4 linked regions of the Drosophila melanogaster genome follow. The protein of the gene in region 1 interacts with the protein of each later gene in a pairwise test. Each region holds a gene or a part of one and is shown in the gene's direction. Other genes may lie near its edges. The genes, in order: KP78b, CG6191, E23 and cas.

Evidence for each region.
Region 2: the proteins of KP78b (region 1) and CG6191 interact in a two-hybrid assay, tested with the Drosophila melanogaster proteins (one large-scale study listed by BioGRID).
Region 3: the proteins of KP78b (region 1) and E23 interact in a two-hybrid assay, tested with the Drosophila melanogaster proteins (one large-scale study listed by BioGRID).
Region 4: the proteins of KP78b (region 1) and cas interact in a two-hybrid assay, tested with the Drosophila melanogaster proteins (one large-scale study listed by BioGRID).

What each region holds. Positions count from the first base shown.
Region 1 is NT_033777.3:11,347,115-11,354,703, reverse strand, and holds the start of KP78b (KP78b), read left to right. Parts: upstream 1-1,572; 5' UTR 1,573-1,691; intron 1,692-3,541; 5' UTR 3,542-4,058; coding exon of another isoform or gene 4,059-6,176; 5' UTR 6,177-6,365; coding exon 6,366-7,589. Other genes in the region: KP78a, read left to right, coding at 4,059-6,176.
Region 2 is NT_033778.4:13,590,327-13,594,931, reverse strand, and holds the start of CG6191 (uncharacterized protein), read left to right. Parts: upstream 1-1,592; 5' UTR 1,593-2,038; intron 2,039-3,053; 5' UTR 3,054-3,159; coding exon of another isoform or gene 3,160-3,225; 5' UTR 3,226-3,487; coding exon 3,488-4,332; intron 4,333-4,605. Other genes in the region: fand (fandango), read right to left, coding at 1-1,103, 1,162-1,206; CG45088 (uncharacterized protein), read left to right, coding at 3,160-3,225.
Region 3 is NT_033779.5:3,351,830-3,356,789, reverse strand, and holds the start of E23 (early gene at 23), read left to right. Parts: upstream 1-1,960; 5' UTR 1,961-2,316; exon of another isoform or gene 2,317-2,951; intron 2,952-3,075; 5' UTR 3,076-3,397; coding exon 3,398-4,314; intron 4,315-4,960.
Region 4 is NT_033777.3:5,712,437-5,718,726, reverse strand, and holds cas (castor), read left to right. Parts: upstream 1-1,921; 5' UTR 1,922-2,114; coding exon 2,115-2,966; intron 2,967-3,505; coding exon 3,506-4,199; intron 4,200-4,269; coding exon 4,270-4,703; intron 4,704-4,774; coding exon 4,775-5,176; 3' UTR 5,177-5,752; downstream 5,753-6,290. UniProt on the Drosophila melanogaster protein: Transcription factor that specifies expression of key genes in developing central nervous system (CNS). Essential for many, if not all, late developing neuroblastoma (NB) sublineages.

The sequences.
Region 1 (7,589 bases):
GTTGCAATCTGCTTTTTCCGCATTCAGCACGATCAAATATTGCCGAAGAAAGATATCGCATCCTGATCAGGTGGCGCGTGTCCTCTGGTGGCCAACTGTGATTTCGTCGGTCGGATCGCATTATGTTCACCTATTTTTTGGGGCGTCAGCTGGTGTGCGTGCCACGTGTATCTGGCGGATACTTTTGCCAAAGGCAGCCGCCTTATCGACTGCATGCTGAATTACCCGCTTTCTCATTAGCATTTCACTGTGGCCTACTTGTCTTGGCTTCTTCGGTTCATCTAAATGCAAATTCTCCCCCACCAAAATTCCCAAAACACCTTCAATTTCGAATCTCAAAGCCAAGAGAATATTGTTAGTTTCCAACTGGCAAGCAAAAATTTCTTTCAAATAAGTTCACTTTTTTAAGTTGACTTTTAATTCTTGAAATGAAAGTGCTTGAATATGGCGATGAATTAAAAGTTCTCATTTTCTTGCCTTCAAACGATATGCACTTTGAATGGAAATGTTCTTGAAGTTAGGGTTAATTTTTGTTCCAAGTGAATGGCCAAAAGCTTTTTAATTAAGCCCTGCCTTCAAGGAGGGGACTACGAATCGGGAATCGAGGAGAAATCACAGAAAACTGTTATTATAATCATCGTCTACGTCTACAATCGGACCAACCAACACCCACCCATCCAATCCTTCTTGTCGCCTACTTTGTCATTATAATTTTTCCTTTCAGCCGGCCAAAGCGATGCCCAAATGAAAGAAATTTTTGCGGGCCAAAAGAAATGCATTTTATTATTATTATTGTTATTTGTTGTGGTGACTTTTTAATCATTCCCTACCAAAACAGAGCGCTCCAACGGATTGCGTTGAGATGGTCGCGGGGGATGGGGCTGTTATTCAAGAAGCACTGGAACCACTGGCCGATTCTTATTGGTGCACCAATACCACTCGGACAGCTCAGACAGATATGGCCATCGGCTACTCCCACACCGATGACACGATGACGACACAGCTGTTGACGACGAATGGGGAAGTCTTGATGGCACACATACACCATCGCAGTCGCCAGCACCACCACCGCAAGATAACCCATACCAATGAAGAAACTCAAACGAAGACGAAGACCACGACAAAGGCCAAATTCGCCGCAAAGACGAACAAAGACGAAGCACGAAACACCCGAAGTGCCTCCCCTTCGCATCCGTGACGTCACACCTCAAGAAACGCTCAAGGAAACGATATTGAGAGAAGGAAGAGCAACATAATTCAAAAATTGAGTGAAAAGAAAGAGAGAAAATCAAACTGCTTAAAATTTTAATTTTCTCTTTTTAAATTTTATGTTTAAAGACGACGAAAGAGAAAAGTTGAAGCAGGCGTAAATCTTAATAATGCGTTTCTTTTCAAATCCGCTGCACGAGCACACGATCGCAATCAGTTGGCCATTTTTTTGAGCGTAAGAAGAGCACAAAGACGCTCTTCGCTCTCTCTTTGCTCAGCCCGTCTCAGACGTTTCAGTTCCAGTTCAAGACCTGTCTTCAGATATTCCGCTCAATGCGTTTCAGTACTACGGCGCGCCTTGTATCTGAAAGTTCGGTCTCGCTCAACGATACGGATACGAAACGATATGGTACACTTGTGGAGTGGATTAACGCTAATTCGTTTTTGATTGCCGCCAGGGGGGATCGCCAATGGACCGATGCGTAAGTAAAGAGCGTAATTAAGCAAGCACGCGGTGGTCACTGTGAGTTCCAGAGTTTCGCATCCATTGTCAGATAAGTCCGATCGTATCCCTTGGGTACCAGAATGCCTTATCTTGCGTCCGTTGTGCGTGTCTTTAAGGGGGGCGTTCTTTGGATCTCAATACAAGAGGCGTTTTATTAAGGTCAGCTAATGGATCAACTGTATGTATCTGTATCGCTTTGTGCGAAGTAAGTGTGTTAACGAATGAGTGCCAGACAGAATGAGGCGCCTGAAGATCCCCAAAGTCGCCGATGACTCAGTGGTTAAGGAAAAAACAAAGAAGAACGGCCAGAGAACCAGAATCAAAATAGAAGAAGCCAGAAGGAAGGAGAGGAGAGGCGCATTCGGAAAAAACAAGCCAAAGATCCCATGGACAGGCAGAAAAACAAAGGCGAAAAAGGGGGAAACGAGATGGGAGACCGAGACCCGCACATGTTCATGTTGACATGTGTTGGTATCTTGGGAAAATCGAGAGAATGTGTGAGAGAGAGAGGGGGGTCTGGTGTGGGGTGGGAAAAGTGGGGGTAACTCTAGGTGGGGTGCATTGAACTTGGCGGCAAAAGGGGAGCGATCACTAGCCCAACAAGAGATCACAGTTCCCAGAATTAAAACCAAGCCAAGCCAAGTACTTGTTGTTACTGTTGTTGTTATTGCAAATTTCCACAGATCTGCGATGTTGTTATTGCGAAAAAGAGAAAAGAAGATGATAGGGGAAGCAAAACAAGAAGAGCAGGCAAAAATAATAAATACAAAGACCCAAAAGTAGCAGCTGCATTTTCAAAATTTCAACATTTCACAAAAACTCAAAAACACACACATACGCAAATACCGTAAGTGAGAGAGGGATACGCAAAGGAGCTGAAAAAGGAAGCGAAGAGCCGGAGGAAAAGGAGACCAGACAAAAGGCAAAGCAGGGATGACGAGAAAAGGTTGCAAGCAAAACAAGTCAGCAGGATCAAGGACACGCAGGCCCTTACACACACACACACACACACGCACACAAAGGAGCAGGCAGAGAAAACCTGAAATCGTTACACAAACGCAAAGCAAAAGAGAGAAATGCAAGCGAACGAGTAGGCCAAAAGAAAAGGCAGATTAAGGACCCGTTCCTTTGTAGTACTTTATTTTTTACAATACATCCATAGGTAGGTAAAACCCATTAGGGTAGTTTCATCATAGGTAATGACGTGCATGTGTGTGTGTGCGTGTGTGAGTGTAGCTAGGGATCGGCAGGACATGCAAAAAATAAAATTGAAAGAACAGAGAGGCGAAGAAAATACTTTGTCACAAGGGAAGAGATTAGTTTTTCAGGTCGATTGAAATTCTGTTGTTAGGGGAGAGAGCAAATCACTTAGTGCACAGTGGTGCAAGGTCTATAGAAATAATTTGATAGATCGTCACTATATTATGAATACAAGTCAAGTTTTAAAATTTGTCGATAAGAGCAAATACGAACTGTAATGCAATATTCAAATGTTTCTGTGAACTTTCTTAGTGATTAGAAAAATACGGATAAAAATATATACTCTCGCAAACAAAAATTCGTATGTATAATAAATAAGTCATATTTTTGATAGTTTTTTTTTTGGCATTCCCTTACAATTTATAATTTGGGACTAGTCAAATAAACAAATTTTCACTGAAAAAAAAAAGGTTGCTAATTCGGTTGTAAATGTACATTTAACTATTAGTTTTATTCATTTGAAACGAAATTACCCTAATACCGAGTTTCTATAAAGAGCAACCATTGAATTCCCGATTCCGATTACTTCCAACATCTAATCGAATCATTCTTCTCTCCATTCACCAGAAGGCAGCTGTTACTCCTCGCTGACGAAGGAAACCGAATACCACCAGCTGGGATATATCCTCGCCAGTCGCAAACAAGAACAACAGGGGCACACGATCGCACCGGAGGATCACAAAGGGCTCGTGCCACATGAAGCAGGGGGTTGTTGATAGCGCCTCCTGAAAGAACTAACGACTCATGCGGTCGTGCGTCGAGACAAAGTGATCCTGCCGCAAGGAGCAGGACGAGCCGCTTATCAGCCATGCACGGGATTCGGGGTGGCTGAGGGTTGCAAACACGCGTTCTTATCTTAAAGCTCAGACTGTCGGGAGGGTGACGAAATAGAGCAGATGTGCAAACAACGGCCCCGATGACGGATGACCGACGAAACCCAGCAATTACAGCTTGAGGGGAGGCGATAGTTACCATCCAACGACGCGTGCTCGGCACACTTGCAGATCCACTGAATAGGAGCAACGTTCGCCTGGGCAATCAGAATCGACCTCAGACTAGGAGCTCCAAAATTCCCAGTATTATAATGTCCGTGGACAACAGCTTGGGAATTCTAGACTTATCTTCGGGTAAGGAGAGTGAGAAAACAGCAATGACAGCAGCAAACAAGGAGAACGATCCGGATTCCCATTTCACGGGTACTATCGTCACAACAGGCGCCACTGCTCAGCCAGCCACGCCCACTACCTCAAATGCCACCGCCCTACCAGCCACGCCTACTGTGGCAGCTGGCCAGGATTTGGGTGACGGTGCATGTAGTAGTAAAAATACGGATTCCAAGTTTCAATCGTACGTAAATGGCAATGGCAATGGTGTGTACAAGATCATCAAGACACTCGGTAAGGGAAACTTTGCCAAGGTCAAGTTGGCGATTCATGTGCCCACCGGTCGTGAAGTGGCCATCAAGGTGATCGATAAGACGCAGCTCAATACGAGTGCACGTCAGAAGCTGTACCGCGAGGTGAAGATCATGAAACTGCTGAACCACCCGAACATCGTGCGCCTCTTCCAAGTCATCGAGTCTGAGAGGACACTCTACCTGGTGATGGAGTACGCGAGTCGTGGCGAGCTATTCGACCACCTGGTGAAGAACGGGAGGATGCGGGAGCGGGATGCCAGGGTGATCTTCCGACAGTTGGTGTCCGCCATTCAGTACTGCCACAGCAAGTTTGTGGTTCATCGGGATCTGAAGGCGGAGAACCTGTTGCTGGACCAGCACATGAACATTAAAATAGCGGACTTTGGCTTCGGCAATACCTTCGATCCCAACGCCCAGCTTGAAACGTTCTGCGGGAGTCCACCATATGCTGCCCCTGAACTTTTCATGGGCAGGAAGTACGCCGGCCCGGAGGTGGACGCCTGGTCGCTGGGAGTGGTGCTGTACACTCTCGTCAGCGGTTCGCTGCCCTTTGATGGAGGCACCCTAAAGGAGTTGCGGGAAAGAGTCCTGCGGGGCAAGTACCGTGTGCCCTACTACATCTCAATGGACTGCGAAAACCTAATGAGAAAGTTCCTGGTCCTGAATCCCGCCAAGCGCACTTCGCTTTCTGCTGTGATGTCGGATAAGTGGATAAATCTGGGCCACGATGAATCCGACCGATTGCGTCCGTTTCGCGAGAAGCCCATGGAGCTGCAGGATGCAGCCCGGTTCGATTTACTGATGAGCATGGGCCACAAGCGCCGTGATGTGGAGCAGTCTGTAAAGGGGCAACTGTTCGACGACATCTATTGCACATACATGCTCCTGGGCGTGGCCAAGCCGCGCTCCTCGAACCGCAGTACGAAACCGGAGGCTATACCAACAGTGGATTTAACTACTCCAGCTGTCAGTAGCCCGCTTCCTAATATCACCACACCCACTGTTACCATAGCTCATGTCACGCTTGCGCTGGACAAGAATCCGCCCATCCACTCCTCCTCAGCATCGGGTAGACCCATTGCGCCACGTTTGGCAAATGCACCCAATACACCGACTTCAACGCCACCAACGGGACCGCCTGCCAAGCCCACAAGACGCACTCCAGCCAGGACACCAGCCCGGAAGGCCACCAACCATACGAGCGGCCAAGGACGTCCGGAGCCTTCGAGTCTTCCGCACACTCCGCAGTCAAAGAGAGCCAGTGCCAACATGGATGTGAAGCCCACGCTGCTGAGTGCCCAGCGACAATTGGCCCAGACCCAAAAGCTGGCCAACACTCCTCCGCGCTTCCAGTACCCCGTTGCCCAAACTCCGAATCAAGCTCAGGGATCCTCCAGGCGGCCCACGACCCTGTACGAGAAAGCGGAACCTGCAGTCACTCCACTTCTGGTGCCCAAGTCGCCGGCCATGGGTGCTCGACTGCTAGAACGGATTCCCGGAGGTGGAGCAGTGGAAAAGACCTCCGACAAGCCCTTCACCCGACAAAATGTGGCACGGGCCACTTTTCATTTCGGCCAAGCGCGCAGTGGCAAACGGGGCGGTGGATCAGGAAATGGCGCAGGCGGAGAGGAGGACAGCTATCAGACGCCACCCTTATCCGCGGACGACACCAAGCCCGCCTCGCGGGTAGGTTTCTTCTCCAAGCTGACCGCACGTTTCGGTCGAAGGGTAATCCACTTGAACGAAAAGGATGTCACCGAGCAGCGCAAGAACCTCACCAAATAGCCAGAAGTCGGGTTGTTTGGGGCAATGTCAAGGTGATAGAGATAGAATGATAGAGTGATAAAGAAAGTGATACAGTCGGCCCTGACCGAGCATTCTAACGAAATTAAGTCAAAACTCAGCAAATCAGTTTGTCTTACAAGTGTGCGGCGAACGCTTTGCTGGGATTTAGATAAATTAATCCTACCAGAAATGACGGCAGCAAACACAAACAAAACGACCGACAAGGAGAACGATCCCGGTCCCAATACATCGATATCCACTACCGCCACGCCCCCTTCTGCAGCTGCCCAGAATGTGGGGGGATGTTTTGGGAGCAGTGGAGGCAGATCGAGCCCTAAGTTTCAGTCCTATGTAAATGGCAACGGCTACGGAGTGTACAAGATCATCAAGACCCTTGGGAAGGGCAACTTTGCGAAAGTCAAGTTGGCGATTCATCTGCCCACCGGTCGGGAAGTGGCCATTAAGCTGATCGATAAAACTGCGCTAAATACGATTGCCCGGCAGAAGTTGTACCGAGAGGTAAATATAATGAAAAAGCTCAACCACCCGAATATTGTGCGCCTCTTGCAAGTTATCGAGTCGGAAAGGACTCTCTACTTGGTAATGGAGTATGTCAGCGGGGGAGAACTCTTCAATTATCTGGTCAAAAACGGAAGGATGCGGGAGCGAGATGCCAGGGTGCTCTTCCGCCAGTTGGTGTCTGCTATTGAATACTGTCACAGCAAGTCCATTGTGCATCGGGATCTAAAGGCAGAGAACTTGTTGTTGGACCAGCAAATGAAATTGAAGATCGCTGATTTTGGTTTCAGCACCACGTTTGAACCAAAAGCGCCACTGGAGACGTTCTGCGGAAGTCCACCGTATGCCGCCCCAGAACTGTTCAGAGGAAAGAAGTACTCTGGACCGGAGGTGGACTCATGGTCACTGGGTGTGGTGCTGTACACCTTGGTGAGTGGTTCCTTACCCTTTGATGGAACCAATCTGAAGGAGCTCCGCGACCGTGTTCTACGTGGCAAGTATCGTGTTCCGTATTACGTCTCCATTGAATGCGAGAGTCTTATTAGGAAGTTCCTCGTTCTGAATCCAACGCAACGTACTAGTTTATCGGCTGTCATGGCGGATCGCTGGATCAACATGGGCTACGAACAAGGTAACGGTTTGAGACCGTTTCAAGAGAAACCTATGGATCTGCATGATGTAAATCGATTGAGTTTGCTGTCGAACATGGGTCACAAACCTCGTGATGTAGAGCAGTCGCTGAAGAACCAGAAGTTCGACGACATCTATTGCACCTATATGCTCCTGGACGTTGCTAAACCGCGCTCAACAGCCTGCAGCGAGAAATCGGGATCTTCGTTTAGGGAAACTCCTACGGCTATGCCAGGCAGCAGTCGGATTCCTGTCCCTATAGCT
Region 2 (4,605 bases), on another chromosome or scaffold:
GTTTGCACGGCCTCGGTGTACGTACTGATGATCTCGGCGGGCTTGTCCTCGTACAGTGTCACCCGCTTGTGCCACTCGTGCACGTTGTGCGGATTCTGGCGCAGAAGCACACTATTCAACAGCAGCAAACGGCGCTCCATGAGGTATTCGAAGCGTGAGAGCCGCAGTTCAACGTCAATGTCGTCCTCCTCGGTGGCCGCCTCATTGGCAGCTACCTGCTCCATACGTCTGTTCAGCGAGAGTTCCTCGAACTGTGCGTATTCATCAAAGACTTGGGTGAAGTCTCTTACGGTGGTCACAGTTTGAATGGCTTCCTCGTATATATCTCTTGCCCGATCAAATAAGCCGGAACGCACATAGTAATCCGCCAGAGAGTTCCACAGGTGGCCCAGCTGATCGGTGTAGCGACGCAGCCCACCGCGAATGATGGCGTCCACGTTCAAGGAGTGCACCTTGTGTGGATTCTTCGAGATGAGGTCGCACAATTCGTTCCACAGCTGATGATTGGACTTGCCGTGTTTGGAAACGAAGTGCTCGTTGTCGACGATGTGCGCCAGCTGCTGGGCAGCTTCGTCCAGCCGATCTGCTTCCTGTAGGTAGTCCACATATTCCTCTGTGTCCTCGGGAAAGAGTTTCAGATATCGACGGTAGACTCGCAGTGCTGTTTCCGGCATTTCAAAGCGGCGTACAAACTGCAAATACAGTGGCCAAATCCTGCCGTGCTGCGTGATGGGCAGAGCCCTTAGAGCCCGATCGAAAACGTGCCGGGTGCGGGTAATCTTGCATTGCGAGGTCATGAAGGCACCGTAGTCCATCCAGATACGTGGCATTTTGTGCATAAACACCAGTGCACGTTCGAAGGCACTGTTGACCTCCTCGTACATGGGATCCGTGGGTATCTTGCCGCGCACCTGCTTCCTGCGAGTTCTCAGGTAATTGTGCCAGATCTTATAGCTGCCAGGAAGCTCTTTCAGAGCACGCTCATAGACCATGTTAACACCATTATTCGGCGCCTTCGCTTTGTGATCAATGTAGCGCAGCCAATGTTTTACGGAGTAGGCGTTTCGAAGGATTTCCTCCTCATACGGCACATCCTCCACTTCCTGTGTGTGAAAAACTTGATAGGTTAGTTGTGATTTACATATATTTCATGGTACTTACGAAATTGATCTCTAAATTCAGAGATTTTATCGTTTTTGTCACCATTTTTCGCGATTTTCATGAAATGCCGCAAACAATAATTTTCTCATGCGCGTCCCACGAAAACAGCTGATCGAAATGGCGTTGCCAGAAGGTTTGAAAAGTAGTGGTATTAAGATACCGCAGCTAATACCAAAGTAATTAAATCCTAATTAACATGTAAACAATATTTTAAGAATACAGAAAAATTGTTCATAAAACTAAGATAACTTTGGCTTGTGTACATTTTTTTTACAAATTGTGAACATCTAGAATTTTCTAAGTGCACCTTATTTAAACGTTGAAGTTATGGACAAACCAAAACAATCGTGAATTTTCTAGAGTACCATTGCGGTATATTTTGCCTCCCTTTGAATTGGTATTTCGCCCTTCGTCCGCTGCCCAACACTGGCCTCAGTTTGTGAATTTTTCGTAAGCCCATCTGCAGATGTTTTCGTCGCTGCTGCCAATATTTTGACGTTCATACCGTTTGCGTATTTCGCAGAGACCAGTTAACGCGCTCGTAAAATCGCAAAAAACACACTTAACGCGATCGTTTGTTCTGTTTTTGTAAACACATTGCAATTGGCCTGCATTTTGCATAATTTACGCAACGAAGGCAACTGCGTGAGTGCACCAACACACACACACACACACACAGCCGTGCAAAAGAGAGCCAAAGAGAGTGAGGAGCGCAGGCGAGTTGGCAGCCAAAGGCAAAAAATCAAAGTCTATCGAAAAAAACACTATAAAAATAGATCAAAATGACGCGCTTGAAACATTTCTCAGCATAGAACGACTATCAATCGAATTAAGTTTTAAGTAATACCCAACGACCGTGGAAAAACCAAGCACAGTGGTAAGTAAAAGACGAGGGGAAAACACGAAAAAACACGTCACACGTGTGCGTGTGCTTGCAAGTGTGTGTGTGCGAGCGTGTGAGTGGGTGGGTGTCATAAATATTTTCGCACACACTTGTTCCTGCATTGATTTTATATTTTTCGCACAGGCTCAAACTTGTGTGTGCCGCCGCACTCCAATTGGTCCAGGTAAATCCAATTAGACTGGATCCTAGGTAAAAAAAAACCACCACCGGAAAATCTATTTCCCCGCTTCCCGAACAGCTGTTTATGATGGTTCTCAAAAATTTTCCACTCGCTCTTGTTGCCCGAGGGAAAATTTTGGGCATTTTAGGGCCTCCCGTATTGAATGTAAACAGAAAACACACACGAAAGTGCGGAAAAGCGCTTAGATTTTCCTTGCCGGCTGTGGCCCAATATCTCTCTCTTTGCCACCCCCTCTCTTCGCACTGTTGCCACCCACTAAACTGACACACTAAGCCGCCCGCCAGCAACAACAGCAACAACAAAGGCGGCTAAAACCACTGCAGCTTTGAGCCGCATGCAGCTTTTTTAACTGCCAGCGGAAAAGCTTTATCAATTCAGTTGGCTAAAATCCCAGCAAAGATTCGGGTTTATTTCAAGGAAAACTTTTAATTCTTAAAATTAAAAATGCCCGTTGTTTTCAAATGAGATTTTTTAAAATGATTATTATGTCTAAAAATTGTAAATAATCTAAAAGAGTTGAAAAAACCATAGCATATTCACTTAAAAATAGCTTAAAAACATTGCTAATTATAAAATATCATATTGAGATGACTTCTGCTAACAATATTATATCATATTCAATATTTTGCCCACTGAGAATGAGAATGTGCTGACCACAATTTCCCCTAAGCCACCCACTGCACTTCAACGAATATTCCAGAAACGCTCGGAGAAAGCTTCTCTTGGCCAAAAGCAGCTTTCCTGCCGCTTTTTATAGTCTCATTTATTGATTCCATTCCTCTCTTCTGTTCTTATTTCTACTTGCAGCCAAAGCAACGCATCGACGCATAAACGCTAGTTAATAATAAAAGTGCATAAAATTATTCGTATTCCAACCATCTTCCGTCATCTAAAGTGCTAAAAATTCGTCACCATGTCGCGTTCAAGTAGTTTGTTTTTTAATTCGGCTGCCAAGTTAGAGACTAAAAAACTTAATTGATTCGATCAAGAAAAGTGAGCAACCAGCAGTGAAAATACACAACAGCAGCATAATCACTTTCGAAACCAGTTTTTTCGTAAAGAATCGCGAAGAGTGTTCCAGAAAAGTGCAACATCACATTCCCACACAGTATATGCACACACACACAAACACACTATATATACATATAGGTACATATATAGCAACATCGGAGCATCCAGGGAAACGACCCACAGCACCCACTTCGGTTAATCTCGCTTGGTAATTAAGGGTTCATCGCCTAATGGCAAGTTCGCTCAACAAGACGAGACACAGGCGCAGACTGGCTGCGATCTCGTTCCTATCGAATATCTCGTTAGATGGCACCCATCGGGACACCAAATTCGGCGCAACATTCGGCAGCAGCCTGCTCTGCAACCAGAATAAGAACCCATCCTCGCTGGGACTCGGCTCGGGGGGCTTTCATCCGCACTATCAGCAGCACCACCATCAGCGCAGCCACTCGGCGACGCACCACAACCACCAGAAGCGGCATCACACGCAGCAGCAGCAGCAACAGCAACAACAGCAACACACCCAACAGCAGCAGCAGCAGCAGCAACATCAGCAGCAGCATCAGCAGCAGCAGCAACACCAGAATGGCGCCCTCTGTTCGCCGCTCCTCTGCAGCGCCGATGTCCACATGGGCATCGATGGCGGCATCGGGCTGGGATTGGGACTGGAGGACTGCACCACCGGTGCCAGCGATGGGGACGGGCATTTTAGTGAAACTGAAAATATGGGTCAATACCTGATGAACGTCCTGCCGGCCGCCGATCACAATCGCAGCAGCATTGTGCCGGCCGAGAGACGCAACATAAAGCGCCCGACCTCGTCGGGTCGTCATAACCACCAGGCACCGGGCAATGGCAATATGGGCAATAAGCTCCAACAGCAGCAGCAGCAGCAGCACAAGTTGCAGCAGCAACAGCGGCAGGCACGAAGTTGCGCCGCCGGCAGCGGAGGATCGGGTGCCGAGAGTGGCAGCGATTCGGACAGCGTCAAGATACCGCTCAAGGTGTCCAATCTGGGCAGCGGCGGTGGCGTGGCCGGCGGAGCGGGCAGCAAGCTATTGCCGCTGAGGGAACGGTGAGTAATCAATGCACAATTCATGTTTGTCATATCAGTGAACTATCTTAGCTTATTATGGTTTCTAATCAGCATTTTGTTAAGCAGTTGCTAGAAGTTGTAATCAAATTAGCTGTATGAAGAGGCAACTGTAAAGATTCTTACCATAAGTTTATATAATATTATAAATGTTATATTAGATCGACTATAAGGGAACCTACCAAAATATTCAAACAGGAAATGTGTTAAGTTATTGCAGCTTCAAATTTATGTTTTTCCAATTAAACGATCTTC
Region 3 (4,960 bases), on another chromosome or scaffold:
AACTGGCTACAATTTTCAACACAGCTGTATATAATACACATACGTGTATATAGTCGACTAAGAAATTAAATTAATAGAAAATTTAGCAAATAACATACAAAATGAAAGACCAAGAAACTATTCACATTCCGACATCGCTTAATAAAATTTGTCTAGAAATTCAATATTTGCCGTACGCTCACACGTACACTTAGAAAAATGGCCCACCATACGCACTAGCACACATCAGAAGAAGAAAAGAGCAAATTAAGGAGAAAAAGAAAGAAAATAAGAATCTTATCAGCGGTAGAACAAAAACAAAGTTCAGTAAAAAAAACGAAACAAAAACAAAAAGAAAGCCACCAGAAGTCGAGAGCAACAACAAATTGGCTGTGTGTTTTTTCAAGGTTAAGAGCAAGTGCGTGTGCGTGAATTGGTGCCACTGTATGGGTGTCTCGCACATTTTGCACATTGTGCGTATAAATAAAAAACAGTAACAACAGTAAAACCACCAACACAGCAACAGGAAAAAATAATTTTTTTTATAGAGAGCCGAGAGCTACGCACCGAAAACGAGAAAAAAACATAGCGGCAACTTGGCGACTTATTCGCTCCAAGTTTATGGCAACACAATAAACTTAATAATTTCGCTGCAAACTGAACAATCATCATTATTTAGGCCTAATATGCAATTGTGCGTTATTTTCCATCTGATTTGGTCAACGACCCAGCGCAGGTGACACATTTTAAGGCTTATAATTGTATTATCGTTCCAAGTTCTAAGTGTAATCTCCTCCTCCCTCGTTTTCCCCTTACCGCCCTCTGGCCACCCACGCACACAATCGTATCCGCGGATTGCACGCACACACGGTTCGTATACGCATTCAAATTGCGTATACGCAGCGGTTACCCTCGAGTTTAATGACTGATAAGATTGGAAAGCGGGCATTTGCCTAACAGCATTAAGAAGAAATTATGAAGCGAATCTTCTAGAGACTTAATTTGTTTTAATTGTACCCTATTAAAGGCTCGCAGACCAACAAATATTTTATTGTCAACTTTAATTTCAAGTACTTAAAAAAAGGTATAGAAAATTTCATTGTTGATCCAACTCCTTGATAAGTACAATATAATTTGTAAAGAAGAAAAATTGCCTTCAAAAGATATCGAAACGTAGGACAGACTCAAAAATTAGTAAAACTTTTTGTTTCGCGAGACACATTAAATCGCCCGAAAACCGCTTGCTACTCCAAAAACGTCTCGAAACTTGTTGAATGACTTCTGGGTTGCCAGCCAAGACCTTAAATTTCTATCACCAAGTTGAAATTCGAGATCAGTCAAACTAAATAACCAACTTTTATTGGTTCGCTTTATTTATCAACGAAGATTACCAAAGTTCGTTGGGAACTGAATATGGATAACAAAATGTTGAGCCCTGTTACTGTTAGGGAACAGCAGGGGAAGTGATCTCGCTGTAAGCCCATAACATTTGTAATGCAATGTACGCAGAGATAACTTAACATTCATGTAATAGAAAGAGAGCAAGGGAGAGAGACTGCACTTAAAAAAATATAACTACTTATTACTATAATTCGTATTAAATAGTGTTTACACAAAAGAAGGCCAGGGATTTTTAATTTTAACGTAATCAATTATTTCTTAACTTACTTTATAAAATTTTAACTTTATCATCTAATTTTTTAATTTTTATCATTTTTCGATACTGCAGAGATATCTCTTACATGCCTTCTGAATGCAAGCCATAATTTGTTTGGTTTTTCATTCCTCGACTTAAAACATACACCTTAGGGCGATTTTTCTCGGTGCAAGCTCCATACGCACGTGTGGTGATCGTAGGCGGCGAGAATGAGTGTGGGGGGAGAGTGCGCGAGAGCGAGAGCGCGAGAGAACGGGAATGAATGAGCGGCGACTTTTGGAGCGCTGGCGCAAGCGTTTAGCTTTAACGGTCCGCGATCAGTTCAGTACGTTCAGATCAACGGGCGCCGTTGGATGTTTTCTTCAATGTTGAAGCGCGCCGAACTCGCGTTGTGTGGAAAAGCGGAATAGCTCTCTGTTTTTCGTCGTGTTTCTACGTTACTTTACTTTTCGTTCGATCTGTCCGTGTTTCGTTTCGGCTTTATAAATCGAGTAATTCCCCATCCAATAATTAACACGCGTGTTATCAAAAATGTTTACAAGAAACCTACATATGTTCAATAAGTAAGCCGAAAAAAAAAGGCAAAGAAATCATTTAAATTGCAAAAAAAGTGCTGACGATTTTTAATATCAAATTCGAAAAAGCAACAAAGAATTTTATTACCTTCCTTCGCTTTTTGGGTGCGTTGTTATTGCAATTACTGCATTTACCTTATATTATATGTTGTTCAAACACACTGAAATCGCTAAAAATGAAAACTGACGTTTTGCTCTGGCGCTTTGTTTCGCGCGGGCTAATTGACAAATATAACAAAATTCGCCAGGCGTCTCCACTTCTCTCTGATTCTCCCCAATTCTCACCGATATTCTGCGATTCCTTTTCATTATCTTTTTCTGTGCCGGTGGCAGTGCATATAGGAAATTGTCGGAAAAGTTCTCAAGCCAAAAAGCTGTGTAGAATCTGAGTTTTTGAGGAGATTCCTCGAAGTCGAGGCAAACATTTTCAAGTTTAAATAAATTATTAAAATTGCAGAACGTTTTTACGAATTAAGTGAAGCCTGAAATGAAGTGAATAGTTTCGGTGAGAGCTGGCGAGCATCTGATTCCAGTGAATAACAGAGATATCGCATGAATAACGCGTGAATAATTAGCACTGCAACTTGAATAAGCAACGAATTCCTAGTAACAATAAATTATAAATTGAATGCAATTCACTGGGATTGTGCAGCAAAAAGCAAACTGCTCATAATAATAAAATCATCACTTTGTTTCCGTGCTTGCCTGACTTTTTACCTTCCGACATCATTGTCGAAAATGTAAATAATTTTGTGTATTCATAATCATGTAATCTCTTAAATCTTAAAATTATATCACAACTTGTTTCACTTGGCTTACATATTAATTATATCTGTACTCTTCTCTGCTCTTACTATATTACAGTCGGCCACAACTCGGGAAAAGAAAAGAAAAAGGAGGCAAGCCAGACAAGCCAGGGAATTATGAAATTTTAAAGAAATCCCCAAAAAAGCCAAGTTCCCAGAGCCGCAAAATATGTTTAATGCATTAAAATAAACGAAACGAAACGAAACGTGTTTAAGGCGAGTGCAGGCAGAAGACGAGCAAAAAGTTGTATACGCATATACACATAGATATATTTAAACAAGATTTACATTTAAAATCCCCCCAATACACACGTACGTATATTTAAAACTGTGGCGGCAACACCAACAACATCCAGCTAAGCGTTCACAAAAAGGTGATAATGATTATTTCCAAGGATCTTTTCATATTTGGCGAACAAATTTTTGCAACAATCATACCAGAAGGTGGAGCCGCGGCGCTGGCAACCCAGCAGCAACATCAGCAGCAGCATCAGCAGCAGCATCAGCAGTCGCATCAGCAGCCGCATCAGCAGTCGCAGCAGCAGCAGCAGCAACAACAGCCGGCAATTATAAATTCAACAACGACGACGGCCACTTCGTTGGTAATAAACTCGACAGCAGGAGCAGCTGAACAAGTTGTAGAGGAGTCATTAAAAGTAGCAGCAGCAGCAGCAGCAGCAACAACAACAACAACAGCCGCAGCAGCAACAACACTACCAGCTAAACAGGAAACAGTTGCAGTTGCTGCCGCCTGTGTTGCTCCTCGCAAATTGGCAAAAATTCAGAAAATTCCAAAGGAACCCGAGGAGCTCAAAGCCAAGAAAAAGGCAAAGTGTGAGGCAGCAGCAGCGGCGACTCATTACGAAAAAATGCCAATGAATTTGATGATCGTGGAAAGTGTTGAGGCAGTCGATATGGGATCATCGGACAATGACAACGAGACAACGGAGCAGGTACCGTTGGTGAGTGCCAGCCGTCGCAATCTGGCCAAAATAGTGGCCGACTGCCGCCTCCAGATCGAAGTGGAGCCGGCAACATCGGCAGTGGCCGCAGCAGCAGCAGCAGCAGCAAGCGTTGCATCCCCGCCTGCAACATCGGATGCGACAGCAGCGACATCGGTGGCCAGCAGCGACTCCTCTGCCTCATCATCAGCATCTTCGACGTCGTCGTCATCTTCCAGCTCAACGTCCTCAGAATTTACGCACACATCACAGACAACGATACCAAGTACGGATAATCTAACGTCATCCAATGGTCTGGCCAATATAGGCAAAAGCATTTTAGTTGATGCCAAAAGGTGAGTGTTCAATCAGCGTTGACCCAATTTCCGAGCCAAGCTCGTACCTACATAAATTCAGGTGTGTGTGTGTTATGTTTTGTTTTTTTTTTTTGTGTCCGCACTGATTGCATGCAGACTTCGTCTTAATAAGGAGGGGAAAGTGGAGGCGATCCAAGGGTAAATCAGGATTTTTCCAAAAAAAAAAAAAAAACAGTTCTCCGGATGAATATGTGGCGTTTCCAACCGGTTGCATTCGGTTGACAGTGAGTTGCAGCTCGTTTTGTACAGTTCGAGCGGGAGCAAATTACTCCTACTCTTGGAGCTCAATGGAGAATCTATGTTCTTCTACTCTTGGAGCTCGATAGCGAATCTATGTTCCTTTTGATTGAATCGGTTCGTACTCAAGCTGTCAAGTTTGCTTTCAAAGTCAGCCATCAATTGCGATATACTTTTGGCTGAGCAGTTTTAGCCTGCCCTAGAATTTCAATTACATGAAACAGTGTGCCTTTTCGTTATCAGATTTTTAGCAGGCAGTGTAGGCCCGAACACTTTTGCAGTATTAATTGATTGCCCATCGGCTCGAAAACTCGTTCTAGAACTGAAGCTTCCTGCCACTAACTAGGGTATCACTCAGCACGTTGGGGATATCCCCTTCGGCAAATCC
Region 4 (6,290 bases), 5.6 Mb from region 1:
CTGAGCTGGCCAGCAACAACACTTAACAAAGGCGACTAACAAAAGTTTTCTATTTCGAAACATTTGTAACTGAATATGAAATTGTCATATGTAAATTCCAGATCCAAATGCAAAAGCATAAACGCGAAGTAAGACTGTGAATGAACCTAAATGTATGGGCTTTTGTTCGCATTTTCATGCAGATTTCCGTACTCCGTTGCCATTTTACAATGTGGCATGGAACCTTTTCTGTAATCAATAGCTCCCAACCCGCTTTATTTGCCTCTCTGCTCTGGCTGCGTTATCCATGTCACTCAATTATGGCAACAATTGGTAAATCCCAATCCCACTTCAATCCCAATTCGCCAACCAAGTGACAAACCATATCCAGGCCTGATCCTGCAGCCTGTACTCTGCTCTGCTCTCTCACCTTGCCCATTGCCGAGTAAAATGCAAATCCAAAATCAATCGTACTCCGCCCCTCGTCCTCCGGCAATCGATTCGTCGATATTCGGGGATTCCCTTCCTGATTTGCATAAGTTTCCAGATAGCGCGCGTGCGCAGTCGATCGGCGCACCCGAATCCGTAATGCGGAGCAAACCCTCCTCCCCGATGTAGTGCAGGTCCATTTGCATAACACTGGCTGGAGGAGCTGGTGATCCGGATGTCGAACTTCCTACCCGATCGCCCGCTCCGCCTCGGGACGATGTGCCAAAATTATGCAAATGTTTTACACCAATAATTTATGCAAATTACGATCCGCAAAGGATTTGGTGATCCTGCGCAGCGGATGTTACACGTAGATGTCGCCAGCTTCAAATCGAAAATGTTTTTTAGGGGTTTGCTCAAGTTCAGAATTTCTGCAAACGTTTTTTTATATGGTAATTTTTTTTTGCAATGGGTCTTAGGAAATATTTGGCATTTTTAATTGTGTTTTTTTGCACGATTGTAATGCAGATTTTTTGCTCGATTGTAATTTTAATTTGCAAATTTGGGTTTTTATTTTTTGCATTTGAATGGATTTCGATTCGATTATTTCAAAAAGGACAGGCAGCTGCTCCAGCTTGATATCCTTTTTGCAACGCGCCAATTTCTTAAAAATCATTTCGATTCCCAGTTTTGCCGAAATTTTTGTGCACACAATTTGCATAGAGATGTGAAGGAAAAGGGAACAAAGATGCGATTCTATACTTTAAACGTTCTAAGATTTGATTATATTTATGGTAATAGGCGAATAAGATTGCCGATGCCAATATTTAGTGTGAGAAAGTATTTTTGAAAATCTTTTTTGAAATCGCTTATGAAAAAAATACTGTAGACGTCGAAATATTTAAAATATTCATCTTAGAATATGTATTTTTTGATAGAATAGAAAATATATAGAGATAATAACAAAAAATTTAAAATAATTAACTATACAGTTTCTTGTGCCCAGATAACTTATTTACCCACTTTCTGCACGTAACTTTGCCGTAATTTGCCGTAATATCTTTGCAAATTGCCTGCGATTTTGGATAAAATTCCTCTGCTGATCTGTGCTCTTCTTTCATTTGCTGTCCCTTTCTAACGCACGTTGGCCATGCGGGATTCCTTCACAAATACACGCTCCTCTTTCGCATTTTTTTTTACCGAAAAACCTCTCTTTTCTAGATAAATTTACATTACCGCTGGCGTTTTATTGGTCGAGAAAAGCGAGCAAAAAAACGGAAACCAGCCGAAAACAAGCTGGGTTTTCCCAGAGCATTTTCCTGCGAAGGGTCGGTTAAAAAACTAGGGGATGAAGGTCGAACCACCACCACCAACGGACTTCTCATTTTATTCGTTTTTTAAGAGAGCGAGAGCGGCGAGATCGGTTTTTTAAGAGAACCGGTGGCGAGAGGGTTGCACTTGGGCATGGATTTGCGCAATTTTTGCTATATTAGCCGGAGGCCGCGGAAGAGTTGAAGCAGTTTGAGCCTCGCAGCCGAACTTTGAGGATCGCTGAGACGAGACGCCGTGCAAGAAAGTCGATCCAAAATCCGAAATTCGAAATCCGTGCTGTGATCTGTGCTGAATATAGTGAAGAAATCTTAAAGAATTTTCAAAAAGAAATCCCAGTGCTGTGCTGAATATATCCGCGAAAGTGTGCCACAAAAATGTCCAACCAAATGGAGTTTATTATGCAACTCTACATGATGAACTTGATGAAGCAGCAGCAGCAAATGCAGCTCCAGCTTCCGCAGCAGCAACAGCAGCAGCAGCTGGCTGGATACACTTACACACAGAACGAGGATATCTCTAGCAGCACATCCGTGCAGCAGCAACAGCAGCAGCAGCAGGAGCAACTGCAGCAGCCACAGCCAGATCTCCGCAAGACAAGAACGCACAAGCGCATTAGCTCGCAAAACACCAACTGTAGTAGTAGCCGTAGTTGTAGTCCCAATAGTAATTTGATTGCTTTTCAACCACAACAATACCCAGGCGCTACAGCGGCAACTCCTTCCACTCCCAACAGCCACCCCAGCAACCTGGTCAACCAGATGCTGCTCCAAAGCCTGCCGCCGCTGACGCAGCTCATGTTGCAGCAGCAGCAGCAGCAACATTTGCTGACCACCTCCAACCTTCTACTAACACCCACCCACACCCCCAGTTCGCTGGGCAAGCAGGATCCACTGCAGCATCCGTTGTTGCTGGGCCAGTTTGCCGGCTCCGAACAGATGGCCACAAATAACTTCCTTCAATCATCCACAGTGACCTCCACGCCCATCGAGAGAGAGAAGGCAGCCACACCAGCACCCTCCGCCGGAGCAACTGCCGGCAACCTTTCGGCGGCCCAGGTCAAGTTTGAGCAGGAGTCCGCCGACGACGATGAGGACGATGATAAGCCGCTGTCCAGCCTCACCAGCTGCAGCTCCTCGGGCCACACCAACGCCAGCTCCGAGAAGCTGCTGTTGTCGGGCGTCCATCCGCTGGAGTCAACCACCGACAGCCTAGACTCACCCAGCATGGTAAGTGATCCGGGGATCTAGAAGGATCTTAACAGTTTCTTTTATCTCGTTTTATCACCATCAATTTTAAAGATACTGTCACTTGCAGTGGCAACTACGTAGTCAAAAAGCTATATATTGCGCATTTTTGTATTAGTACATTTGATTTAAATTCTAAATTCATCCCAACAGCTTGGTTCGCCATACTTCACAAACCTTTTCCAGTTGCAAAATAGACCATTTTCCAATTTCCAATTCAGAAAGCACTATATTTGTTCCCTATTTTGCTTTGTTTTTTTTTTTTTTTGGCTATGTCCCACGCTCTGTTGCTGTAATTTGAGAAAAAACGATTCGTGATTTTTGAGATTTAAGTGTGAGAGTAGCCAGAAAGCTCGCGATTCCGGGGAAAAGAAACAGCTGTGTCGGCAACGCGTGGGTTCTCTTGGTGGCTCGATCGCTGCCCAGCTGGGCACCAGGCAGTCTGAGCTGGGGATCTCACAGATGCATCCGTGTGTTGGTATTGACTCTAAAGTTCTTCCACCCTCTTTTTCCCACTGCAGTATACGCCCGTCAAGCAGCCGGCGGACTCATCGTACGGACTCATCACACCCGTCGACAGTGATCTGACCCCCAACACACCCCTCCAACCGACCCAAACAATATCCCTGCTGACGCCGCCGTCGAGTGAGCAGAGCAAGAGCCTGGTGAGCCTCTCGGCGGCCAGCGGCCTGGATGCTCTGCTCCAGAACGAGGAGGTACTGAAGAACCTGCGGAAAGTGTCCTCCTACCTGGAGTGCGAGAACAGCCTGTGCAGGCAGGAGAACCTGCGGGAGCACTTCCATTGCCACGAGGAGCCCTGCCAGGGCAAGATCCTGAGCAAGAAGGACGACATCATCCGGCACCTGAAGTGGCACAAGAAGCGCAAGGAAAGCCTCAAGCTGGGCTTTGCCCGCTTCTCCTCCTCGGACGACTGTGCACCAGCCTACGGAGAGGGTTGCGCCTACAACTGGAAACAGACCCACTACCACTGCGTCTACGAGCACTGTCCCAAGGTGTATGTGAGCACCAGTGACGTCCAGATGCATGCCAATTTCCACCGCAAGGACTCCGAGATCGTGAACGAGGGCTTCCGGCGCTTCCGGGCGCACGAGACCTGCCGCATCGAGGATTGCCCCTTTTTCGGCAAGAAGATCTCCCACTACCACTGCTGTCGCGAGGGATGCACCCACACCTTCAAGAACAAGGCCGATATGGGTAAGTCTACTTGGAAAGCTTATTAGCTGAACTTAGTTAATATATCATATATGTATTTCTCCTTGCTTAGACAAGCACAAAACTTACCATCTGAAGGACCACCAGCTGAAGATGGACGGCTTCAAGAAGATCCTGAAGACCGAGGTATGTCCCTTCGACGCCTGCAAGTTCTCCACCGTCTGCAACCACATCCACTGCGTCCGCGAGGGCTGCGACTACATCCTGCACTCCAGCAGCCAGATGATCAGCCACAAGAGAAAGCACGATCGTCAGGACGGAGAGCAGGCGTACCAGCAGTTTAAGATCAAGCAGGACGTGGAGGAGTCCTCCCTGGATGCCATGCCCCAGCAGCAGCAGCAGCAGCAGCAGCAGCAGCCCACCAGCCTTAGTCAATCCCAGAGCAGCAGCTCTGTATGCGGCGGCAGCAACACCTCCACTCCACTCTCCTCTTTGTCCGCCGAGCACTTCCTGGCTCGGAAACGCGGCAGGCCACCCAAGAAAATCGTAAGTTTGTCTGTATATTTTGGGTAATTTTCCGCGACATTAAATAGGCATATTTTCTCAATCCACCACAGCAACTGCCAGCCGACGCTCAGCAGTCGGAAGCCAAGCGCCTGAAAGTCGAAGACGAGTCCTCTAATCCCGCCATGCTCCTGCCCCAGTCCCAGCCAGCAGCCGCTGTGCATCCGCTGACAAGTGGACTCTTTCCCGGTCTCCTGCCCGCTGCCGCCGCTCCTGGAGTGGATCCCACAGCCCCTAACTTCCAGCTCACCCACCTGATGGCCCTCTTCCAGTTGCAGAATCCCCTCTTCTACCAGAACCTCTATCCGGGAATGACCCAGAATTCCTCCATGCTCGGCAACCTGGCAGCACTTAGCGCCGCATCGGCAGCAGCGGCGGCGGCAGCGGCGGCAAATGGAGCCGGAGTCCAGCAGCCGAAGGCAGAGTTTAGCTTTAAGCCAGAGTTTAAGGAGTAGGAAGGATGCGTGTCCTTAGGGTATTTTGCCAGCTACTTAGTTTGACCGACGGACGTTGGACATTGTACATACGCGCTTTAAGCAGGTTTAGGTGGGTTTTTTTGTGGGTTCAGGCAGATCCAGGACAAGGCATCCTTCCCTCCACAAAAACCAACTCAGCCACACTTTGAGAACCTAGAAGTCCCCTATACAAAGTGTAGCTGAATTGGCTTTTGCCAAACATTTTCCCCTTTAGCTTAGATTCTCTCAGTGCCACATTAATTTTTAAAATTTTCAGCCATTTTAAATAAAAAGGAAGAACTTTCTGAATTTAAGTTTGACTAAACTGTGATGTTTTCATTAGAGTAGCCTCTTTTAATTGATAGAGCGAGTGCAGGCTATGCAGGATATGCAGGACTTAGGAGACTTGGATTGTCAATAACATAGCGTCTAAGCATTACATTGTATGTGATATACTAATAAATAATGGCTAATTGTTTTTGCTTTATAATTTAAGGGAATAATATTATAATTCTAATTATAAACTTTAGTAAAATCAGCATTCTTCTATAATAAATAAGTCAACATTACCTGAATAAATTTTATTATGCCTCAGAGCTTATTATTTAAACACAAAATGCTTGAGTTATTGGGGGTTACTGGAAAATACAATATATAAAGTAACTAACATATATGTATACCCAACCACACATAAAACACTTAAACATTTGATTAAATAATTTATGACTTTATTTTGTTTTCATGTAATTGTTGGTTTTACTCATATGCTAACAGAAATCAGCTACACAAACTCAGGACGCCTGATAAAAACCGTCCCGCTAAGCAATATTTAAGTACTTTACACAAAATCAATTATTTTTTCCTTTGCTTGTATTTTTGTATTTTTTATAGTTCATAATCGCATATATGTATATGTAAACAATCAATACAATCCAAATACCATAATCATAAGCATAACAAAAGAGATTTCAGAAAGTTGTATCCTAGTCAAGAACAATGTACAAGCAAGTATCATCATTTTATACATTAGGTATTTGCTTTTAGTTTACATTGCAAAGTGAAACCCTGCGTGAAATGTACAAATAAAGGTAAACTAAAAATAACATTAAGAACT